Caenorhabditis elegans: one gene and its partner. The protein of the gene in region 1 interacts with the protein of each later gene in a pairwise test. Each region holds a gene or a part of one and is shown on either strand. Other genes may lie near its edges.

Region 1 (4,651 bases):
GATCTCGAGCGGTTCGATGCATTGGACAACCATCAGAGAGTTGGTATGGGCGATTGCGCTGAGGATGTTGTTGCTGGCAAGCTGAACGAAGCCCTGAAAAGTCAGAATTTAGAGCGGTCACCATTAGCTAGAATGACTTACAGTCATCTGAACCGGCATCGCTGCCACCTGATTCGGAATTTTCATTGGCGTCGATCTCGCCGCTGGCAGCTTCGTTCCAGCATTGTTTCTTCTACCGAACCCCGCTCCCTCGGCACGTGGCTCATCCTTCTTTGAATCCTGCTCAACCTCCTCAGGTGACTTCACCGCGGACGTTAAGCTAATTGCTTTCAATGGTAGCTGTCCCGGTTGAATATTCATTTTCTGAAAAAATTATGCGGGTTTTGAGGGAAAACCAAGAGAAATAAGAAAACTCACATAGAAAAGTGTTGGTCACAAGTCGGAAATAAATTAATTTTGAAAATCTGATCTGATTGTACTATGTGGAACTTCACGTCAGATTTAAATTTCTGTTGGAAAAAAATAGGAAATTATCTGCGGAATTGTTGTCTGCTGCACGTGTATTAGTTATCGCAATTTTAACAAGTCATTTGTGCCCAGAAAACGCAATCTTTTGCTGAGAAATTATCAGCTAGTAGGTATAGTAAGAAGAAGCCAGAAAAAACTAGTTTATTCTAGTTTGCAAGTGAATTTGTGAACAGGATCCTTTATAAGTTTAGAAGCTGCTATGCATTCCGCTATGCATTCCGCCGTTACGATGTTGATCCTGGTTACGATCCTCGAAGTAGGTGAAGTCGATCAGGAAAACCGAGGTGACAAGCAGAAGCTTCAAGATTGGCGGCATGTCCATTGGGACTGAAATATTCCAAAATTAAGATAGAAAAGATCAGAAGCTTAGAATAAAATGCTTACAATGAACAATATAGGTGTCCGCATCGGTGAACATCTCCTGCATGAATCCCGGGTAGAGGCGGACAATTTCTCCGACGAGCACACCATTGAAGGTCATCACTGGGAACTTCTGGGTGCCACCACAGCCTGCACAACCTGGAGATTGGATGAGCAGGGGCTGGTTGCAGCCGGATCCGACGAGCTCGAACTGAAAGAAAAGGTTAATAGGATGTGTCTCAAGGAGGATGGGAGATTCAGGTGAAGAGCTAATAAAGCTTCAGCCTATAGGAACGATTGCTCTGATCAGGGGTGTGCGGCAAGTTTGGCGAATTTGGCGAATTTGCCGCGTTAAAAATTCAGTAGTTTTGGTGCTTCAAAAAACATCAAATTTTTCGGAGTTAGTTGAGCTCGGCAAATTTGCCGAGTTTGCCCTTGTACAAGGTGTCATGCTAGTCCCGATGTTGCCGTTCAGCGGTATATAGATATAGATCTATAGATCTACGTATAGTGCAATTGTATAGTGCAATTTATATCTGTAACTTGGTACATTGGTGACGTACGGTCCTTCCGCCTTGCTCTGTGTTTCTCTCTTTTAGTGTGTCAATGCCTAGCCGCTGGGCGGCAGAGCAAAGGCGTGAAACCTGTACGTCTATGTACCAAGTAATAGGCTTTCTAGATAAACATCTTAATACTGAAAGACATTTGGACAGTCTAGTAACCTATAGTCTATATCTATGTCAGTACAAACTTGGCACATTGCAACCTACAGTCCTTCCGCTTTGCTCTCTTTTGTGTATCAATGTCTTGCGGCTGGGCGGCAGAGCAAAGCGGAAAGACTCTAGGTTGCTATGTGCCAAGTTACAGATATATTATAGATCGGACTATAGATAGGGCATCAGGGGTGTGCGGCAAATTTGCCGTTTGCCGAGCACTGCAAGTTTCAAAATTTGCCGCACAGCCCTGGCTCTAAGCTCGATCAAGATTGATGCAAACTCAGATCAGCGAAAAGATCTCTTTTGAGAAAAATGTGATTTTTCCAAAGAATGCTTCAGGGCTCTGGATTACTGTAGTTTTACTTGATACTAGCACTCACATTAGGATTGCAGCACTCCTTCTTCATCATCCCAATCTGCTGATCGAGGAACTGGGTGCTCAGAAAATCATCGGTCGAGCAGCATGGTCTTCCTCTGAAGCACGTCATCACCTGAGCTCCGTGGGTATCCATGATCTGCATTCCGAAGTTACGATCGTTTCCTTCGTACTGACGAGCGAAGATGTTCGATCTTTCCATACAATAAAGCAGCGGGCGGCAGTACATGTCATGGACCACGTAGCGATTCGGAGTTTCGAATCCGGTGAAGATCTCGAGGGGTTTGATGCATTGGACAACCATCACAGAGTTGGTATGGGCAATGGCGCTGAGAATGTTGTTGGCGACAAGTTGGACGAAGCCCTGAAAAGTCAAAAGTTAAAACGATCACTATTAGCTAGAATGACTTACAGTCATCTGAACCGGCATCGCTGCTACCTGGTTCGGAATGACCATTGGCGTAGATCTTGCCTCTGGGAGTCTCTTTCCACCACCTCCACCTCCTCCGAATCCTGCAGCCTTGGCACGTGGCTCTCCTTTCTTCGAATCCTGCTCCGGCTCAACCTCCTCAGGTGACTTGGCCGCAGACGTCAAGCTAAGCGATCTCAATGGTTGCTGTCCCGGTTGTTTGTTCATTTTCTGAAAAAATTTTGCGGGTTTTTTGGGGAACACTGACAGATATAAGAAAACTCACATATCAGATCGTTGTTCACTAGTCGAAAATGAATGAATTTCAATCGAAGGGAGTATTGATTTTATTTGTTGTTTCGAAAATTGAATACGTGGGGAAAAGGGATAGGGCAGAAAGGGCAGAAAGTTCATATTCACGTTTGAACTTATCTAATTTATTTAAAAATTTATTTATTTACCCCGTGGCTCCAAATTTTCTAGAAACTATGAACAAAAACATCCCGCAGCTCTTCCAAAACTTTCTCGAATTCACCGATCTGAATTTTCGGTACTGAACAAAAACTAATAGATTTTCAATGGTTAAGCAGCCAAACTATATATTCGTTTTGTGGATCTTCAGTGAAACACTGAAGATGACTTTGCAGCATGAAACCTGAAACCAGTGGCTCCTGGCAACCAGCACAATAAATTTGGAGCTCGAAATCAGTACTTGAACAAGCAGTGATAACTTGTCAAGCGTTCGCTGAGTCTCAAAGTTATCAACTAGAAGAATGCACATCGACATGTAAATTCTTCCATACAGGATAGTGTGGCAGAATTTTAATTTCTGCAAAATTACTTTGAAACAAATTTTTATCAATCTCCCAGACTAAAAAACTTTTGAAGTGTTATCTGTTGAAATGTGTAAGCTATTGGAATGTTCAAATGTTTATTCAAATGAATTGCAAAACTTGGCATTTAGTCAGCATATGGTGGCCAGTAGTCAATATCGCTGAAAAAAGTTATTTTTCTGATGAACTAGCACTAACATTATCTTACATCGCAGCGTATTGTCTAATTTGGAGTTTGATTGGCGTATTGTCAGAATATGAGTACTCAAGTTTCATGTTGTAGATAGCAGCATCGAGGTTTCCATAGCCTGCTCGAATTGTGCTATTTTTCTGAAATAGCTAACGTATATTCCCTGTTAGTGAGGCATAGGATTACTGGAGCCTGCTCTCGAAATTTATTGTCTTATCAAACAGTTACTGAAGTTATAAAACGGCCACAGTCCCCAGCTTGGGTGTGGCTTAAATTACCGCCCAGTAGGATCACCACCAGGTATTACAAAAACAAACTTCGACCAGAAAACAAAAAAATTTTTGGTCGAACTTTGGACCAAAAAACAAGAAACAAAAAATCGAAATTTTCAAAAAAACCAACAAAAAAAAACTAAAAAAAACAAAAAACAAAAAAAATTTCACGGTTTGATATCAAACGGGACAAAACAGGAATTTTTCATGAAATATTAAAAATTGAACACACGAACGATTGAACAAGGTTTTTTGTTCTCATTTGTTTAATTTTTTGCTGAATCAGTGTTGCAATTTATTTTTTGGTTTTTTTGGTCTCAAAAAACCAAAAAAATCAGTGCACAACGCTTGAAAAACGGATCGACCTTTAATCCTTTAATCATTTAGTCTCTAATCGTGAGGTTATTACTTTCAAAGGTAGTAACCTCAAAAAACGGTATCGTATGAGTACATGTAGGAAACGTTACCTCATTGGATGGGGATCCTGGATATCCATAAAAACCACCATTGGTAGATGATGAAGCATTGTACCAAGAAAGGTAAAATGATTGGAATGTATCAATGGGACCTCAATTTGTAATATTAACAAGTTATGATAATCATATCAAAATTTGTACCATGGTTCTGTACAGTTACTGCAAAGTCGACCCCGGCAAAGAATGTCCCGTTGGGTTTAGTGTGGAACAGTGAAGGCAGTACAATGGAGCCTTTTCCGGACACTACAGGATTCACCGAATAAATGGCTACAGGCCAAAATAGCCCAAAAAAACGAATTTGAGACTGAAATTAATTAAGAGTGAGGAGCGACCTCTGAAATCTTACATCGTTGAATTGATCATCATTTCGAAAATCGGCTAGTCCATTTGTTTTAAATGAGAGGTCATAGAGGGTGAGTGGTTGGGATCCACCTGATGGAGTATTTGATGAAATTACATGAACCATTCCATGATGCGATCGAATTTTGGCT
Region 2 (3,015 bases), on another chromosome or scaffold:
CCACCAGGCAGTGTACCTGAATCCCAGATCCGCAGTGCATAGCACTTGAAGAACGGATCGTCCTTTAATTTTTTTTTTTAATTACCTCGCGAAACTTACAATTTCCTATTTTCGTTTTTACCTTTCTGCTGGGTTTTGACATTTTCACGACAGGGTTTTTGAGAAAAATCAAGGGAAATGAGAAACGAGGGTAGTAAATCGTGATCCACGCGCAAATTACATAAATACTAAATAAAAAACTCTCAAAAATAGTTTATGAACTCGCGGCAACATTTTTTGCATAGTTGTGCCACTTAGTAGAAACACTGAAATTTATGTGCTATATCATTTAAATATTATTTAACGACGTTACTATCATTGTACACGTTTCTCTCTCTAAGTAAGTAAGTAAGTATCTAAGTATCTTAGAATGTTGGGTTGTGTCAACCGTATAGAAGAACTGAAGTATTTCTATGCCATGTGAAATATTTGAGCCCTAATTGCCTTCTCTGTGGAATTCACGTTTTGATGGTATTTGTTCATGAATTATTTTGAATTTTTGTCATCCGAATGCCACAGTTATGTGTCAGACAGCATACTCGTAGTTTTAAATTTTACTAGTCAAGTAGAACCATGCATCATTATGGTGGATAACTATCGTTTTTCTGAATTAGTGCAATTTATAAATTGGAAACAATTAAAACAATATCAAAACAATTTATTTAATACATCAGGGCAAAATATCACATTTAAAAAAACGTCCAAAAACCCCCAACCAAACTCCAGGCAAAATTTAGCAATGATGATGATGGTGGAATGGATTCCAGTGATGATGATGATGATATGGTTCCTCAATAACAACAACTGGTGGTGGCATTCCATACATTGGTGCAGCCATCATTGGTGCAACTGGAACTGGCATTGGAGCAACCATTGGAATTGGAGCAATTGGTGGAGCATATCCCATTGGTGGTGGGACATATCCGACTGGTGGTGGGTATGGGTACGAACCGTTGTAGGGGTTATAGGCCATGGCGAAGAAAGTCGAACTGAAAGTTGAGAAATGTCAAGAAAGTCAGAAAAGCGGCACGAAGAGGGTTAAGTAAACTGATAGGCAAGGTATTAAAAATGAAAATGGAGAAATAAAAACGAGGCAAATGTCATGAGGCCAGTCAAGGTACTGATGGGAATAGGCTGATAGGTCGAGGTATTTTATATCGTTTTAGTATCAGCGGGAAGGAGAAACGCGTCACTTGATATGCAAATAGTGTGACACTTTTCCCGAATAAGTTTCTCCTATTCATCGATTTCGAAAATGAAGGTTCAATGAGTCATTGGAAGAATTGGAAGAATGACATATTTAGAAATAAAAAAAGCAATAAAAATAAACAAATTCTAAAAAAGAAGATCTAATTAAAGAAATAAAAGTTGCCATATTGGAAGAAGTGACGTTAGTATTTGGCTCCCGTCAATATTGACTCAAAAACATCAGGAGCGAAAGCTATGTCGAAATAGAATTGAGGAACAATTGTTTTATTTCTGTCAATTTTTCGTGCTTATGGGAATCACTCAAATACAAATCAATCTAGACGATTCCGGAATCAAAAGTCAAAAGCTTATCAGTAAGCGTACACAAAGCAATCAGTGGTCTTCAAACTTTTGGTAAATAGAGTTCGAGCCAAAGTAAATCAATTCATAGTACGTGCATAAAACACGGATGAAAAATTTGTAAGGAGATATATATATATGGACACTTTGAACTTTGGTTCAAAGTTTGGAAAAAAGTTTAACGCAGTGTTTTTGTTGAATACAAATGCACTTAAATGATAAATTAATTTGTTTAAACCGAGAAATTAATGGTGAAAATTATGTGAAAATGCCCAAAAAAAAAGACTCATTTCATGTTAATATTTTTATTTCTCTACAATTGCTGCTCTTTTCAGCACGAAATATATATAATTTTAGCTCAAGTCCTAATTTTGCCAAAGTTTTAGTGATTAGCAGAAATTCAGCCAATTGAGAATACATTCGCGCTAAAAATACCGATACCTTAACACAGTAGAGCCTTGTTTGATAGCCCGGGGCGAGGTTTTTTCAGTTTTCTATTGTCCAAATTTTTAGTGTCTTTGTTTGTAGTGAAAAAGAAGACTAAAATCCGCGTTTCATGCTTACAACCAGGTCCCACACTCTGAGGAATTGGAGTGTTCACGAAGCAATCGCTACTGTATTTTTACAGTTAAAGTTAATTGGTCCCTAAACATTTCTTTGAATAAAAACGCAGTGCCAGGGACGTCCAATGCTTTACCAATTTCCGAAATAAATTGAGCTCCCAGGCTCACGGAGAAGTTAGTAAAAGTGGAGAGAATAGAGCTGTCAGAAATGGTGCTACTCCTCTCAAAAATTCATGTTAGTTCTGGTTAGAAAAAATGGCGAAGATCTGTCAGAATAATGAAAACAGGTAGCTTAATGGCCAAAATCCAAAAAAAAAAAACGGCGCCTTGAACTATTTCAAAACACATCACCACATTGTGTTTTTATGAATCATCCAGACAATTCAACTGATCTATGTGTTTTTTTTGTTTGCACTCAGGAAGAGGCTCTGACTAATGCAAACAACAATACGTCGGTGTGCTCTTTTTTTAATGCTTATCAGTGTTAAATGGGGGGTTTGTCCTCCGCCATGACGCAATTTCTTTTTTTATGTTTCTGGTGTTTAAATATCACCGAAAAATTTCAGTTAGACATCAGTTCACCTTTCTTAATATTTTAATTTTTCATTCTTTTCGTTTCCGTTCCCGCTCTGAAAATTATTGTATATATTATTTTGTTCTACTTAAAATTTTTCATTTTAGAATTTAAGACAACATGTACGAAAACGGAGGTTACAACCCGTACGGACAACAGGGATTTGCTCCTCCACCAGTATTCGGTGGTCCAGGAGGCTATGCTCCGCCAACTGTTCATGTTCACAATAACGGAGGGCATCATCATGGGCACCATCACCATCACCATCATGGATTACTCCATGGTCTTGGA

Evidence for each region.
Region 2: the proteins of scrm-5 (region 1) and F22H10.3 interact in a two-hybrid assay, tested with the Caenorhabditis elegans proteins (one large-scale study listed by BioGRID).

Annotation. Positions count from the first base shown.
Region 1 is NC_003282.8:4,160,488-4,165,138, reverse strand, and holds scrm-5 (Phospholipid scramblase), read right to left. Parts: upstream 2,719-4,651; 5' UTR 2,676-2,718; intron 2,621-2,675; 5' UTR 2,618-2,620; coding exon 2,393-2,617; intron 2,345-2,392; coding exon 1,985-2,344; intron 1,100-1,984; coding exon 913-1,099; intron 856-912; coding exon 716-855; 3' UTR 659-715; downstream 1-658. Other genes in the region: scrm-8 (Phospholipid scramblase), read right to left, coding at 1-93, 142-360.
Region 2 is NC_003284.9:16,676,696-16,679,710, forward strand, and holds F22H10.3 (Spore coat protein), read right to left. Parts: upstream 1,013-3,015; coding exon 773-1,012; downstream 1-772. Other genes in the region: F22H10.2 (VrrB protein), read left to right, coding at 2,845-3,015.